Elephas maximus indicus: one gene and its partners. The protein of the gene in region 2 interacts with the protein of the main gene of each other region in a pairwise test. Links are inferred from orthologs where the notes say so. Each region holds a gene or a part of one and is shown on either strand. Other genes may lie near its edges. The genes, in order: NECAB2, FXR2 and MEAF6.

What was found.
Region 1: the proteins of FXR2 (region 2) and NECAB2 interact in a two-hybrid assay, tested with the Homo sapiens proteins (2 studies listed by BioGRID and IntAct). The link is inferred for Elephas maximus indicus from reciprocal best matches to the Homo sapiens genes FXR2 and NECAB2.
Region 3: the proteins of FXR2 (region 2) and MEAF6 interact in binary tests that used the Homo sapiens proteins (3 or more experiments, as listed by UniProt). The two-hybrid records come from large-scale screens. The link is inferred for Elephas maximus indicus from reciprocal best matches to the Homo sapiens genes FXR2 and MEAF6.

The regions. Positions count from the first base shown.
Region 1 is NC_064839.1:49,959,311-49,964,855, reverse strand, and holds the start of NECAB2 (N-terminal EF-hand calcium-binding protein 2), read right to left. Parts: upstream 3,654-5,545; coding exon 3,435-3,653; intron 29-3,434; coding exon 4-28; intron 1-3. UniProt on the Homo sapiens protein: May act as a signaling scaffold protein that senses intracellular calcium.
Region 2 is NC_064837.1:13,170,820-13,176,364, reverse strand, and holds the start of FXR2 (RNA-binding protein FXR2), read right to left. Parts: upstream 3,689-5,545; 5' UTR 3,273-3,688; coding exon 3,192-3,272; intron 1-3,191. UniProt on the Homo sapiens protein: mRNA-binding protein that acts as a regulator of mRNAs translation and/or stability, and which is required for adult hippocampal neurogenesis. Specifically binds to AU-rich elements (AREs) in the 3'-UTR of target mRNAs.
Region 3 is NC_064821.1:79,102,461-79,108,005, reverse strand, and holds the start of MEAF6 (chromatin modification-related protein MEAF6), read left to right. Parts: upstream 1-2,673; 5' UTR 2,674-2,735; coding exon 2,736-2,825; intron 2,826-4,077; coding exon 4,078-4,193; intron 4,194-5,545.

The DNA of each region.
Region 1 (5,545 bases), on a different chromosome or scaffold from region 2:
CACCATTTTTGTCCGCTCGGCGGAAGATCTGCAAAGAGAGGTTGAGTCAGCTCTGGCCAGGGCCGGGCAGGCGCCCCCACGGGCTTCTGACCAGACGTCTCCAACCCACCCCTCCCCCGGGGGTGAGCCCCCCAGCAGCTGTGGCCTGGGGGGCTGAGGCCCCTCCCTGGGAGGAGGCCGGGGTGGGCTCTAGGGCTGGGGGAGGATGGTTCAGGCAAAGCCCCTGCCAGCCGCCACAGAAGCAGCCGCCCACTCTCCCTCTGTGCTGCCAGCCTGCCCACGCTGCACGGACAGGCACAGCCCTTACAGAGTCACCATCCACACTGCCCACCCCCACACACACGTCACACAAAGAATCAGTGATCGGGGACACAGCCACACGCCAAGCCTTGCACCCTCTCCCAGACCCCTCAGAGCCTTGTTTCTTCAGGAAGGTTGGATTTGGTCTGAACTGAATAGGCTGTGGGTGGGTGGGGGTTGGGGGGGGGGAGGCGGACGAGTGATTTTCTGCGTGGGGAGTAGGTGGCACAGGTGCCAGGGGCTCAGAAACCAGGGCAGGCTGTTCTGGCTGCACCAGGCAGGGAAAAGGAGCAGCCCAATTCCCAAACCTGAGGGCTTCTGTGAGAAAAGCCTCTGCTCGGCTGGGGAAGACTGAATCTCTTTTTCATCGGCCTTTCCGGCGACATCCGCACCGAGGCAGAGCCCTGGCCCCATCCACCAAGGCCAGGGATGCCCATCCCTCCCACACGCGACCATCGACCATCGCCTGGTGGGCTTTGCAAGCCTCTGCACCCCCGCCCTGCCTCGCTGGTGGGACCCAGGTGTCTTGAGTTTTAAGGCTTCCTGGGTGTGGCCATTGTTGAAACCTGTGTGCTAGAGACCTGCTCCACCTGGAAATGAGTCAGGCCCGCAGCACTGGGTACCCCTGGAAGCCTGTTAGAAATGCAGAGTCTCAGGCCCACCTGGCCCCACTAAGTCAAAACCTACTTTTTATCCAAATCCTCAGGATCTTATTTGCACACTAATGTCTGAGTGCGACTGCAGGGAAGGGGCAGACCCTAACTTCCCAGATCTGGGAAAAAAATAGGGGCCTCAGGCAGGTTGCTGCCGATCCCTGAGCCTCAGTTTCCTCTGAGCTTAATCAGCTTGTTAGACTGGGTAGGTAAGTGGTGCTCAAGAGAGGCGGGGAGGAGGCTGGGGCCTCTGGCTGTCCCACCTCCCTCCTTGCCCTGGGGCACCAGCCAGCTGGCCCTGCCACCCTCCATCCCTGGAGCACTGTCCTTTATCATCACAGGGGCTGTACCAGGCTGAAGAAGCAGCTGGAGGGGGGGCTTACATGCGCCCTGCTGCCCCATGGGGGCTGGTCGCCCCTTCCCCTTACTGAACCCTGACACCTGGGGACCAGCAGGAATCACAGTGACTGAGGCTGAAGGGGGATCAGACGCCCCCAAACCCTCCTCCAGAATCAGCCTAGGCACCTCACACCCTTCCTCCCAACAGTGCGAGCCCCCAAGGATGGGGGTCCCAGGCCTCCCCTGGAGCCTGGCACTGGGCAGGCACCTGCTCTGGGCATGACTCGTCAAGTGAGTGACAGCCAGTGATGTCAGCTCCGGGAGTCTGCAAGGGCACTCTGGGAAGGCCCGCTCAGTCACCCCATTTCTCAAATGAGCAAACGGAGGAGGCTCAGAGCCCACCATCATCACCATCAGAGAACTGGAATCAGGAGGAGTATAGACAAAGCCCAGCGGCTCTGGGGGTCTGGGAAAAGAAGCTCCAGCTGTTGGAGTGTGTGTGTGTCTGGCTGTTTGAGTGTATGCTTGGGGCACCAGAGACAGAAGCACTCACAGTCCTGCTGTCCCTTCCCTGCCCAGCCCTCCTCGCCCAGACCTGGCTACAGGTTCCAGGAGAGACAGAGGGAAGAAAAAGGGGTGCACGCACACACACACTCCCAGAAACACAACCCACCTCTTCATACACTCAGAGGTACCCCCACCCCCCACCAGCCACGCACCTCACAGGGCCCTCACTGGGACACACAAGTTGGCATCCCCATGCTGTCACTGGAGGTGGGGGAGACCTCTGATGAAGCCCCTCCATTCCTCCAAGATGCTCCACAGGGGGAAGCTCCCCACCAGCAGGCATCCATCCTGAGGAATCCTCCCTCCCCCATGGGGGCAAGGGGGATGGGTTCCCAGACTGCATGGGAGAGGGAGTGAGGAATGAGTCTGGGGTTCCTGAAGTGCACAGGGCTCTCGTGAGGGAAGGGTACGTGAGGGAAGGGCACGAGTGGAGACAGGAATGGAGGGCAGCTGGGTGCTTGGAGTAGAGTGGCTGGTCGGGGAATGGAAGCCCTGGAGGGGTCCAGGCTCGGGTGGAAGTGGTTCTGCATCAACGGAAAAGAGAGGCTAGGTGGGGAGGGGCTTCACTTTCAAGGGGGTTGTGTTGGGGAAAAGGGTCTTTGATTAGGAATGACACAACTGGGCTGGGGGGCCCTGCGTCGGGAAGAAAGAGGGGCCAAGCTGGGGGTTGTGGGGGTCTCAGAAAAGTAGCTACTGGGATAGAAAGGAGACGGGTTGGGGGTGGCCGGGGCTCCTTTCCGGGAAGCGACAGGGTAAAAGGTGGAGTGTAGGTCTGGGAAAAGGATCGGGGATTGCCTAGGACAAAATTAGTGAGGTGGCCAGGTCCGGGAGGGAGGTTCAAGGGCCCCAGCTCTGCGAAGGTGGGGAAGCGGAGAAGTGGAGGGAGGGGGCAAGGAGGAAACCCCGCTCCAGGTAGGAGCGGACACAGGGTGAAGGGGACTCCTGTCCAGGGAGATGAGAGGACTCGGGGTGCAGACCAGTCAGGGACATGGGGAGGCTGGGGGGTTCACGCTGTGGGGAGCGGAGAGGCCGCGTGAGGGTCCTGCCTCGGTTTGCCGAGGGGAATGGATACGAGTTCCCTGCTCAGAGAAGAGGGGGCTCTGAGTCCTGGCGGGAACAGGGGGTCCGTGTCAGGGGCCATTCCTCGAGAGGAGGGGTCTCGGGGAACAAGGGGCTCCGTGTTGAGGTCCCTTTCCTGAGAGAACGAGGCGCAGAGTCCCAGCAGGCAGGGCGTCTCCCCCAAGAAGGGGGGCTCTAGGTCCGGCAGGAACCGGGAGTCCGTGTCGGCTCTCCTCCCTCGAGAGAAGGGACGCGGGGTCCTCGCAGGAACGGAGTTCCCCCAGAGAGGAGGGATACAGGGTCCCGGCAGGAACCGAGTTTCGTTTCGGGGTCCCCCGAGAGGAGGGCCACGGGGGTCCAGGCAGGAAAAGGGTTCCGTGTCGGGGTCCCCCTAGAGAGGAGGGGGCGCGGGGTCCCAGCAGGAACGGAGGTCCTTGTCTGGGTCCCCTCCGAGAGGGACGCGAGGTCCAGCCGGGACCCGCAGGGGCTCCGGCGGGTCGGGGCGCGCGTACTCACGTCCAGGATGACGGCGGTGCCCCCGCGCAGCGCGGCGGGGCCGGGCCGGGGGTCGGCGTCGGGGGTGGTGGGAGCGTCGGGGGCCAGCGGCGCCCGAGGCTCGCCCATCCTGGCGCCCACCCAGCGCAGCAGCCCGCCCAGCGCCCGGCCCTGCGGCGGCGGCTCCCGGAGCAGCCTGTGCGCGCCGGCCCTGCACAGGCGCGCCGCCCGCTCGCACATCGCTCCGCCACCGGAGCCCGCCGACCCCCGCCCGCCGCCCGCGCGACCCTCCCGGCGCCGCCCGCCGCCGGGCCCCGCCTCCCTTCTCGGTCCGCGGCCGCGGACACTCGGGACAGCCGGGCGGGGACGGGGGGGCCCGGACCCCGCGCCACGTGCCAGGTCCACCACCCCCACCCCGCCGGGCGCTGCGGCGGGGGCTGCCTGGGGGCGCGGGCCGGTTGGCTGGACCCCGGCAGGCCGGGGAGGGGGCTGCAGCGGAGGAGGCGCGGGGGTGTCTGGCTGCTGGAAGGGGGTCCCTGGGGGCTGCCCCCCCTCCGGAGCCCCCTTCCCATGAGCCCCTCCTCCCCCCGTGGCGCCGCCGCAGGGGCCGGAGCGCTGTGTCCGGCGAGCCCGCAGCGCCCTCTGCTGGTGCCGGCTCTAGGTTCAGCGTTCACACGCCTCAGGCCTCCCCCGCCCCATCACTTCCCTGGCACCCACCCTTGCCCTCCAAGGGATTGCACGCCCCCCAGACCTCCCTCTGCCATTACACAGGCCCAGAACCAATCTACGCCCCAGGACACCTTCCTCCTCTCCCACTCCCACTCATCCACCCACTCAAAGGATTCATTAAGAAACACCTGCCACACAGCAGAGACTCCCTGAGGGAGCAGGAGAACAGTGGGATGCAGACCTCAAATTCTCGCAAAAAGACCAGACTTAACGGTCTGACTGAGACTAGAGGGAACCCGGACGTCACGGTCCCCAGACCTTCCATTAGCCCAAGATAGGAACCATTCCCAAAACCAACTCTTCAGACAGGGATTGGACTGGACTGTAAGACAGAAAATGATCCTGGTGAGGAGTGAGCTTCTTGGCTCAAGGAGACACATGAGACTATGTGGGCAGCTCCTGTCTGGAAGGAAGGTGAGAAGGCAGAGGGGAACAGGAGTCAGCTCAATGGACACAGGAAATACAGAGTGGAGAGGAGTGTGCTGTCTCATTAGGGGGAGAGCACTACATAGCAAGGTGTATATATATTTTTGTATGAGAGACTGAGTTGATTTGTAAACTTTCACTTGAAGCACAATAAAAATTTTTAAAAAGAAAAAGAAATACCTGCCAGGTGCTAGGTCTCGTGCTAGGCACCAGGATCCAACCCCGGGGCACAACACCCCCCTGGTGCAGAGCCATACACTGGAATGATTCCACGAATAAATGAACAACTGAAACTGAGATGCTCTGAAGTGGTGGTGCCATGGGCCACGAGAACCACCAACAGGGGTTTGTGTCAGCAGAGGCTTCCTAGAGGAAGTGACCCTCATGCCAAGTGACTCAAAGGAAGAGAAGGAGTTAAAGAGAGGAGGAAAAAGTCATGGGCTAGAGACCAGCCTGTGCAAAGGCCCTGTGGCAGGCTTGGGCATGGTAGGCAGGAGGAACTGAGAGGACAGTGTGACGGGGAGAGGGGCAGGGAATGTAGGCAGGGGCTGCAAAGACCTCCACAGCACATCAGTCCTGGAACACACCCTCCCCCAAATCTTCTAACATGCTGCCCCCTCACCTGCTTGCACCTGACAATTGCCCCCCACCACACACACACTTGGGGCCCATGGAAGCAGCAGTCAAGAAATCAAATGACATATTGCATTGGGCAAATGTGCTGCAAAAGACCTCTTTAAAGTGTTAAAAAGCAAAGATGTCACTTTGAGGACTAAGCTGCACCTGACCCAAGCCATGGTATTTTCAGTTGCCTCATCTGCATATGAAAGCCGGACAATGAATAAAGAAAACCAAAGAAAAATTGACACCTTTGAGATACGATGTTGGCGAAGAATATTGAACATACCATAGACTGCCAGAAGAATGTATGATTCTGTCTTGGAAGAAGTACAGCCAGAATGCTCCTTGGAAAAGAG
Region 2 (5,545 bases):
TCAGTGACCATGGGATACCCTGGCTTTGGCTTCTGGAGCCTACGACCCAGGAGAGGCAGAGAAGGGGAGAGAGGGAGAGAGTCCTAGGTTCCTTCCATTTGGTACTTCAGTTTCTTCAGATTAGAATATATGAAATTAGTCCCCACTTTCAACTTATGTTCTAGTCCTGCAGTCTCAAAAAAAAGAAGGGGAAAGTGCATATATAAAAATGGTTGAAATGGCAAATGTTTTATTATATATATTTTGCCACAATAAATTTTTTAAAAAGAAAGAAGAAAGTTCTAGGAGAAAAGCAGGGAGAGTCTGGGTAAAAACCATGTGTTGAAGCTCAGTATGCCATATTCTTTAAAAAAGGAATGGGAGTTAGCTTAACTAGTAAAAACAGGTCTGCCTTGAGCATTAGGATCTTTTAAGAACTATCTACGTGGGATTGGACTGACAACAGCAACTCCAGCGACTGGATAGGAACCTTAGGGGGCAGTGAGTTTCCGTTAATGCGGAAGGACGGCTCAGAGAAGGAGGGTGAGAATGGTTGCACAACTCGAACAATGTAATCAGTGTCACTAAACTACACATGTAGAAACTGTTGAATTGGTGTATGTTATACTGCATATATACTCAACAACAAAATAAACTTTAGAGAAAAAAAACAGAATAGGAATTAAGATATCAAGGCAAGATCTGGAAAGTTGAATGGCTATGCCCTGGAAGGTGAATAGGTATCTTATTTGGAAGAGTACAACTTTAAGAATAAAATACACTAAGTTCTGACAGAACAGGAAGGGTTGGTGGGATAGCTACAAGATAACTTAGATCCTAGATCTGACATTTGCGGCTCTATCTTTCTTAGAAGAGAATCAAAACAGTAGGACCCAATTCTTAAAGAGGAAAAACGGACCTCCCTAAGTTTATAGCTCTAGAAAAAGTGTAAATACTCCCTGACCCACACAAAAGTTTGCTGAGTCATGAATATTAAATCAGTAGCAAGGTCAAAATGGATAAGCATCTATATGGCACTGAGAACTGAGGAAAGATTAGTCTGAATTTAGGGATTTATTGTTTTTAACTGAGGCCTTGGGGCAACAAATGCTAAAGTAGCCACATCACCTGACTTCTAGCTCAAGTCCAAATTCTACTCTCTAAATCAAAGTATCCTGTCCCTAATTCACTCAAAAAGCCTGTCATTCCCATAGCCCACAGAAGAAGTGGGAAAGATCCAGAGACAGACTCTCTGTTGAACACTTGTATGTGGAAAGTGAAATATCTCCCTTTCCAACAATGTCATACAGTTAATTTGAACTGGATACTCAATCTTTCCCAGCTGTGCTTGGCTCCCACGCTTCCTAGAACAGAAACAGACATCACAGCTTCATCTCAGACTCAATTTAAGAATCACCTTTCTTGGAACCCAGAAAGGACCCAGATGAATGACTAGGGGAAGTGAGGCTAACATCTAATGAGGAAGGGTATTTCGGCAACGGTAATATGAATTCGGGGGAAAGAATATAAGAGGCAAGTATGCTCTATCAGAACCAGACAGAAATGAGAGACTTTCTGCCAAGGAAAACAGAAACGCTATTACAGGGGCAGGCTTGAAGAAAATGTCCCAAGAGTAGGCAAGTATGGAGAAAAAGATGACAGAAGAGATCAGCTGGAGCTTCCTTCCGCTGGCTAGGAATAAGGTGGTTCCTGAGGATAACGGAGGAGTATAGAAATGTTACAATAAAAGTCAAAAAAGTGAATTGAGAAAGTTAAGATAGACAAATAGGGGTACCCACAGTTACTGGATATAAAGAAATCTGGTGAAGGGAGTAAGGCAGAAATGGATAGGCATTTAGAGTGGGGACGTAATGAGTACACTGAACCTATCAATTGAAGTTGGGGCAGAAACCATCCACTCCAAGGGCAAATATGAGACCCTTTCCAGTTATAGTGAGATATGACTTCACAGAGGAGTTGGAGAAAGTCATTTCCAAGGGCATGAAGGTATAGATGTCTACTGTGGGAGAAAAGATTTGAGGGAAAGTGGAGCAAAAGAGGCTCTTTTCACTACAAGCGATGTCCTGAGAAGATATCTCTTCCCAGCTCTTCAGGGCGACATGAAAGATACAGACAGGAATCAGGGAAGTCTCTAGACAATCCCAGGCGTAAGGTCCAGAGAGGTTCAGAATAACAATGGTTACACAAAGAAAAATTCTTGGGAAGCAAAAAGGGTCTCCCTCTGGCTTAGTCTAAATGGGAAAAACTGAAAATTCAGAACTTCTGTGGAATCAAACTCTGGAAGAGGGGGAGTGGACTGAAATAAGCAAGGGTCTTTGAAAGCTAGTCCCCTTCTCCTTCCCAAAAAGACTGCTGTCAGATTCTCAAATTAGGAGAGCTGGCCAAAAGTCTTCTAAAAGTGGAAATCTTTAAGAAGAGGATAAACAGAAGGGACCCTTTTAGTGTTCATGAAGATGGAAAAACTACGGATGATCTAAACATACGTAAGGTCAAAGTGAAATAACTAATGCAAGTTAATTCCTGGTAGAAGAGTAGACCAACTGGCCCTAAGATAAATGGGTGGGGTGAGAGGCCTGGGAAAAGATGCCACCTTATGGCTGGGGGGCAACTGGATTGGAATAATCCAGAGTTCCTGAGGTCAAAGATGCCAAATACCATAAATGAATTTTGACCGTTTCTCCTCAGGCTGGCAACAGGAATACAAGGTGAAAATGGGTTGGGTTTCCCAGAGCCAGTGGGCAGAGGTCTCTCAGAGGAAGATGAAACGATCTAATATGGGACAGCCTTCCCATGGGGGAAGGAGGGAGAAGAAAGAGAATTCTACATGTGCTCAGGCTGTGGAGAAATGCTATTCTAAGGTCTGTCTTCTACTGTGAAACAGAAAAAGTCAATAAGCTGGGTAAACGGAGTTGTTTTCTGGGGGGAGGAGAGAGACACAAATTCAGACACAACAATGCCCTGACAGTCATTCTCTCTGACATGAGATAAAAAGCGGGTGTGATAGAGGGTCAAAAACAAGAGGAAGAGGGTTAACTCCCAGAGGTCTCCCCCTGAGAGCTGAGGGTGGGAGCGTGAGTCTAAGGTTCTAGGGGTCAGGACTCGGCTCCAGAGCTCGATCCCGCCCTGCTCTTCCCTGCTCTGGCTGGGGGAGGGGGTACAGGCAGGTGTCCCCGATCGGCGCGCCGCCTCACCTTGTAGAAGGCCCCGTTGGAGCCACGCACCTCGACGGGCAGTCCCGGCTCCACATCCCCCCCAGAGGCCAGGCCGCCCATGGCGCCGCCACCGCCTCCGACTGCCCCGGCGGCGGCTGCAGCAGTGGTCTGAGTCCGGGCCGGGCCGGGCCCCCGGCGTCTCCCCGGAGGAGGAGCCGGAGGGGGAGCCGCGGGGGGCGGGAGCCGGGCCGGCCCCACGGCGGCCCTGCCACAGCCAACGAGCAGGGGGCCGGGGCCGGGCCGCTCCCCGTCCGCCGCCGCCGCCTTGGTCTCCGCCACCGTGAGGGAAACGGCTGCCGCCGCCGCCGCCGCCGCTGCCTTCGTCACCTCAGCTTCCGCCCGCCGCCGCCCCCGCTGCCGCCTCAGTCCCGGGACCCGCTGTTGCCGCTGCCGCTCCACGGCCTCCACCTCCCTCTGCCGCCGCCGCCTACTGCGCAGGCGCACCGGGCACCCGCCCGCCGCGCGCGGGGCCGGGAGGGCCACGGCGCAGGCGTCAAGGCTGGCGACCCCGCTCGCGCTCGCCAGCGCATCGGGACTTCCACACTCCCTTTCACTCTCTCACGCCCCCTCCTGGTCGCTGACTTACGCTTGCGCAGAACGAGTTAAGCGTTCTTCACTGTCCCCGCCCCCCTCTCTTCCACACTCCATCTCTTCCTTTCCCCGCCCCACAACACTGAGAGCTAGCCAATCATGGGAAGGGAGGGACCAAGCTCACTCAGTCGGATTGGATTTCTGCTGGTTCTGGTCATACCACAGCCGCTTCACCACTAGGAGCCCCACTTGGCTTGGCTATGTTAGAGTTGGGCATGCGCCTGAATGACTGCTTGGTCATTTTCCCCACCTTTTGTCTTTCTTGGTGCGCACGCTCCAAAGGAAGAAAAAAAAAAAAAAAAAAAAAATGGGTCGGAATGCCAAAAAGTGCCTGATGCGCGTGCGCTGTCCACAAGCGTGTTTTGAATTTCTTTTACGCTCCTACAACTTTGTGCTATAGGAGACTTAAGAGTTACGGTTCTTGCCTTGAGAATACAAGGAGATCCTGGTCATGCATATAATGAAAGATTACAGAATAATTTCAGGGCAACACTGGGAAATGGAACTTAGATTGGCACAAAATCTTATATCTAAATGCTGAGAAAATTCAAAATAGGAAGAATTGCCGGGGAGTAAGGGTTTTTTTTTTTAAGGGTAGAATGAGGAAAACTTCGGATTCTTGAGCTGAGACAAGTGAGAAATTTAGGTAGAAGTGAGTTAAAGAGCACAGAAATTAGAGTCGTGCGTTGTGCACTTCATTATTTAGTGAACATTTATTTAGCCCCCACTGGGCAGTTCTACTCTATCTTATAGGGTCGCTATGGGTCCGAATTGACTCCATGGCAACGGGTTTTTCCTTTTTTTTTTAATGTATTGGAGCCCTGGTGGCACAGTGGTTAAGAGCTCGGCTGCTAACCAAGAGGTCTGCGGTTTGAATCCACCAGCCGCTCCTTGGAGACCCTATAGGGCAGTTCTACTCTGTCCTATAGGGTCACTATGAGTCGGAATCCACTGGACGGCAACAGGTGGTGTGGGTAAGTTTGGTTTAAGGTGGTGCTGTGGCTAAGCTTTCTACTGCTAACCAAAAGAGCAGTGGTTCAAACCCATCAGCCGCTCTGCAGGAGAAAGATGTGACAGTCTGCTTCAGTGAAGATTACAGTCTTGGAAATCCTATCCGGCAGTTCTACTTTGTCCTATGGTTGCTATTTGTCAGAATTGACTCAATGGCAACGGGTTTTGGGTTTTGGATGTTCAGTCTGTGCTCAGACTAAGCTAAAGGTTGATGATTCAAGCCCACCCAGCAGTACCACGGAAGAAACAGCCTGGCGAACGGCTTCTGCAAAAATTACAAAAGATAAAAAATTGCCAGTGAGTCAATTCTGACTCATAGCGAGCCCCAAGGGATATCCAAGGCTGTAGATCTTTACCAAAGCAAACTGCCACATCTTTCTCCCGCAAAACAGCTGGTGGGTTCAAACCACTGACCTTTCCCTTAGCAGCTGAGCATTTTAACCACTGTGCCACCAGGGCTCCCGTTACAGCTCTCTATCTCTGTCTCCTGGATCTAGGAGGTTCTCAGTGCAGCGGTCCCAGGTCCAAAGAACACACTCTACTCCTGGCTCTTCTTTCTTGGTGGTGGTGAGATGCTTCCTTCCCACCTCTGGGATGGCTCATTTTAAGCCTGGCAAAACTGACCAATCCCCTTGTTAGGTTTCCATACACCTTATTTGCATGGCCCCACCCACCACAAGGGTGCCATGCACCTGACTTAGTTATTAGCAAGCTATCCAATCCCCTTGGTG
Region 3 (5,545 bases), on a different chromosome or scaffold from region 2:
AATGATACTGTTCGATAATTTATGCATTCTGCTGGATTACATTTCTTTGCAATGGGACAAATATGGATCTCTTCCTGTTGGTTGGCCAGGTAGCTGTCTTCCAAATTTCTTGGCATAGACAAGTGCTTCCAGCGTTGCATCCGTTTGGTGAAATATCTCAATTTGTATTCTGTCAGTTCCCAGATCCTTGTTTTTCACCAATGCTTTCAGCGCAGCTTGAACTTCTTCCTTCAATACCATTGGTTCTTGATCATATGCTACCTCCTGAAATGGTTGAATGTCAACCAGTGCTTTTTGGTACAGTGACTCTGTGTATTCCTTCCATCTTCTTTCGCTGCTTCCTGTTTTGTTCAGTATTTTGCCCATAGAATCCTTCAATATAGCAACTTGAGGCTTCAGTTTTTCCTTCAGTTCTTTCAGCTTGAGAAGTGCCAAGCATGTTCTTCCCTTTTGGTTTTCTAACTCCAGGTCTTTGCATTTTTATTATAATACTTAGAAATCTTTTCAGCTCTTTTACTTCATCATTTCTTCCATTTGCTTTAGCTACTCGATGTTCAACAGCAAGTTTCAGAGTCTCTTCTGACATCCATTTTGATTTTTTCTTTCTAATGACCTTTTGCTTTCTTCATGTGTCCTTTATGTCATCCCAAATTCGTCTGGTCTTTGATCATTAGTGTTCAATGCTTCAAATTTATTCTTGATATGGTCTATAAATTTGGGTGGGATATCCTCAAGGTTGGATTTGGCTTTCATGAACCTGTTTTAATTTTCTTCAGCTTCAACTGAACTCGTTTATGAGCAATTGATGGTCTGTTCTGCAATCAGCCCCTGTCCTCATTATGACTGATAATATTGAGATTTCCCATTGTCTCTTTCCACAGATGTTGCTGACTTGATTCCTGTGTATTTCATACAGCGAGGTCCAGGTGTATAGTTGCTGTTTATGTTATTGAAAAAAGGTATTTCCAATGAATAGGTCATTGGTCTTGCAAAATTCTATCATGCAATCTCCAGCGTCATTTCTATCACCAAGATCCTATTTTCCAGCTACTGATCCTTCTGTTTCCAACTTTGACATTCCAATCATGAGTAACAATGCATCTTGATTGTATGTTTGATCAATTTCAGACTGCTGAAGTTGGAAAAAATTCTCAATTTTTTCATCTTTGGCATTAATGGTTGGTGTGTAAATTTGAGTAATAGTCATATTAACTAGTCTTTCTTGAAGGCATATGATATTATCCTATCACTGACAGCATTGTACTTTAGGACAGATCTTGAATTTTTTTTTTTATTATGAATGCAAAGCTGTGCTTCAATTTGTCATTCCTGGCATAGCAGAGCATATGACTGCCTGATTCCAAATAATCAATACCAGTCCATTTCAGCTCACCAATCCCTAGGATATCTGTCATCAAGCATTCCATTTCATTTCTGACAACTTTTAATTTTCCTGGATTCATACTTCATACATTTCATGTTCCGATTACTAATGGATGTTTGCAGCTGTTTCTTCTTTGAGTCATGCCACATCACCAAATGAAAGTCCGGAAAGCTTTACTCTGTCCAGGTCATTAAGGTTTACTCTACTTTGAGGAGGCAACCTTCCCAGTTGTATTTTGAGTACCTTCTGACCTGAGGGGCTCATCTTCCAGCACTGTATCAGACAATGTTTTGCCCATTCATAAGGTTTTCACTGGCAAAGTTTTTTTTTAGAAGTAGATTGCCAAGTCCTTCTTTCTAGTCTGTCTTAGTCTGGAACCTGTGCTGAAACCTGTCCACCATGGGTGACCCTGCTGGTATTTGAATATCAGTGGCATAGCTTTCAGCATCACGGCAACAAGCAAGCCACCACAGTAGGACACACTGACAGATGAGTGGTGTACTGTATTATGTATGTTCTATTACTACCTCCATTTTACAGATGAGGATGCTGAGACAGTGAAATTTAGTTACCTGCCAGAGGTGGCACAGCTTATGAGTGGACAGGTAAGATTTTCAACCAGGTAGTTCTGGCTCCAGTTTGTGCTCCCTACATAATACTTGTTTCTCTAAAAGGGTAACAGGGCAGCCATTGAAAGATTTTAACCACAAGAATGACATCGGATTCCATTTTGAAAGATCACCCTGGCCTCACTGTGGACAATGGATTGAAGGAAGCTAAGAGTGGAAGTAAGGAGGCTATTGGAAAAATGTAGTCAAAAATAGGGAGGGCCTGGATGAAATGGGGAGGTAGCAGAGGCGATAGACATGTGAGTGGATTTGGGAGCTCTTCCAGGGTCCACAGGGCTTGGTTTTTGGATCAGATTAGGGGGTAAAGGGAAGGATGATACCCCGGTTTCCAATTCTGGCAACAGGAAGGAGAGTGAAAATCATTCACTAAGGTGAGGAACACTGGAGCAGACTTAAGTTTGGCTTGGGACGTAGTCACCTTGTGGTATCTCTAAACCCCAGTTGTCAACTGACGGGTAGAGCTGCGGCTAGGAGAACGACCAGAAGAAGCCCGGACCCCTGGACCCTTCCAAGCTGGGTTTGCGAGCGCCAAAGGGCCAGAGCACCCCAGGGCCAGAGCACCCGGCGCCGTGGCGCGCGGCTCCGGAAGCCGCGCGCGCAGGCGCAGTGCAGCGGCGGGCGCCCCCTCGCGGGCCGGCCGCGGCGCGCAGGGACCGCCCCCAGCCTCCCGCCGCCGCCGCCGCCGCCGCCGCTGCCGCCGCCGCCGCCCGCCTCTGCCCAACATGGCGATGCACAACAAGGCGGCGCCGCCGCAGATCCCGGACACCCGGCGGGAGCTGGCCGAGCTGGTGAAGCGGAAGCAGGAGCTGGCGGTGAGGGACTAGGGCCGGGAGCGCCCAGGTTGAGGCTTCGCGCCTGCCCCCGCCTCCGGGTCCCAGGCCAGCCGCGCCAGGCCGTTACTCCGGGGACGCAGCGCGGCGGGACGAGTCCCGGGACCTGGGACCCAGCTGCGCATTCCGCGGCCTGCGGCGGCTCCATTTCCCGGTTGCGCGGGTCCGGAGCTGGGCGCCGGGGCCGGGCCTCGGGGCCCGGGGGCGGGGCGCGGAAGCCGGGGAGGGGGAGGGGGAAGAGGAAGGAGGGGGGCGTGGAAGAAGGAAGCGGCCGGGGCTGGGGGAGGGTGCGTGGGACTCGAGAAAAGGCGAGTGTCGGTGAGCTCTGGGGGTGAACGCGGTGTGTCCGTGGCCCTTGGAGGGGCGAGGGGGGCGGGCGTCCCCTTGATGTTTGAGGAGCGGGGGGCGGGCGTGCCGGTGGGCTGTTGAGTGGTTGGTTCGGGCTTGTCCGTGGGCTTTGAGGGGGATAGGGTACGAGGCACATGTGGGAAGGACACCCAGTCTGGCCTTAGGACGATGATAGGGGGTGTGACCTTTTGGGGACTAGGAGTAGATCTGTTGGATGGGATTTTTGATGGGCAAGGGTTTGGTTTGTTTGGGAACGTTTGGAAGGTGACAGATGAGGGGAGACTCCGGCTAGGGAATTGGGAGTTGTGATATTCATCCAGGGTCCCCTGAGCCTTGGTGGATAAGACACTCCTCCCCGCGTTTTGGATTGGGCATGGGGGAGGCTCATCTCACCTGCAGCTGCCCTTCCAGGTTTCCATAGCAACCGGCAGCCTAGTCCTGGCAGCCTAGTGGGCTGGCGGCCTTTCAGAGCCTGCGGGGAGGGGAGGCGTTGGCGCTAGAAGGCTCTTCAGCCATCCTTCTCTCTGGTGATACCTTTTGTGCCTGAGAGAGGAGACTGCCCATGTTCTGCTTCAGCGGGGGTTTTTCACACCTGGGGTTCCATGAACCCTTTAATGTATATGCAGAATTAAGCATGTATATGCATTTTTCTGGGGACAGAGTCTGTATATTCCATTCTCTTCTCAGTGTGGTCCATTACCCCAAAAGGTCAAGACTGCCTTAGACCGTAACAATCTGCCCCTGCCATTATCCTCTTTCTCTCCACAAGGGTGTTTTACTGTAGTTGAGCTTAGGTTTATAAGTCTCATATCAAAATTTCGGTTTGGTCAGACTTAATGCGTGCTTTTAAAAGGCATTATCCATTTCCCTGTTTTTCATCTACCAGGAAACACTGGCAAACTTGGAAAGACAGATCTATGCTTTTGAAGGAAGCTACCTGGAAGACACTCAGATGTATGGCAATATTATTCGTGGCTGGGATCGGTATCTGACCAACCAGAAGTGAGTGTCAGCAGCTGTAGTGTTCTGTAATGTGCCCTAGTAATATTTGTTTTTAGGACTATATGTTTCTTGGTAGTAGCTTTGTGGGCAGGAGATCAGGACTTGAACTCTGGCTCAGCCTCACTGCCTCACTGAGTAACCTTGGACAGATTCTACATCTGTAAAACAGAGAAAGCCAGCCTATGGCACAGGGTTGTGTGCAGTGTAAATGAAATACAACATGGGGAATAGTGTTTTCCACGTTTTAATCAGTCATGAGTTCCACCTTCACAGCTTTTGCCATACCTGGGTGCACACTGTACCACTATTTATGTAATAATATTATTATTTAAAAATTTCCCAACTTTTCGAAAATTTTCAAATCTATAGAAAAGTTGACAGAATAGTACATAAGCACTGGCTACCCTCCACCTACATTCTAGCATGTTGCCACATTGGCTTTTTCTCTCTTTGTAACATATATAAACACATACCAGTACCAAAACGCCAAACCCATTGAGCTGATTCTGACTCATAGTGACCCTGTAGGACAGAGTAGAACTGCCCCATAGGGTTTCTAAGGAGTGGCTAGTAGATTAGAACTGCGGACCTTTTGGTTAGCAGTCGAGCTCTTAACCACTGTGCCACCAGGGCTTGAAATACATATCTATACATAATTTAAAACAACTTTTTTTATTTTGAAATAATTGGAGATTCACAGGAAGTTTCAAGATGGTAGAGGATGGTCTGGTGTACCTTCACCCAGTTTCCCCCAGCAGTTACATCTTATGCAGCTACATTATAATATCAAGACCAGAAACTGACATTGATATAATGTGTGTGTATAGTTCTGTAGATTCGTGTAACCACCAGCACAATCAAGATACAGAACTATTCCATCACCACAGAGATCTCCCTCATACTCCCTCTTTATCATCATACCCACTCCCTCCCCCGTACACTGTTTATTTCCTAAACCATTTGAAAGTTCAGTACAGATGTCATGGTATTTTGCCCATAAGTATGTCAGCATGTACTGCCTAAGACTAAGACTGTTTCTCCTACCTGGCTGCAATTACCTCACCTAGAAAATTAACATTATGTTAATAGTGTCATACACCGTCTTTATTTAAATTTCCAATCATCCCCCGAATGCATTGTTACTTTGTTTAGATCCTGAATCCAGTCAGTGTTTAGTCATTCCATTTGGTCATTGTGTCTATTTAGTCTGTTTTAATTTAGGAGAGTCTCTAACCCTTGGTTTTTGTTTGATGACATTGTCTTGTAGAATGCCCCACCTTCAGGATTTTTGTTACTGTGATCTCATGAGAAACTCATAAACATTCTTGGCAAAAATGCTGCATATAGGTGAT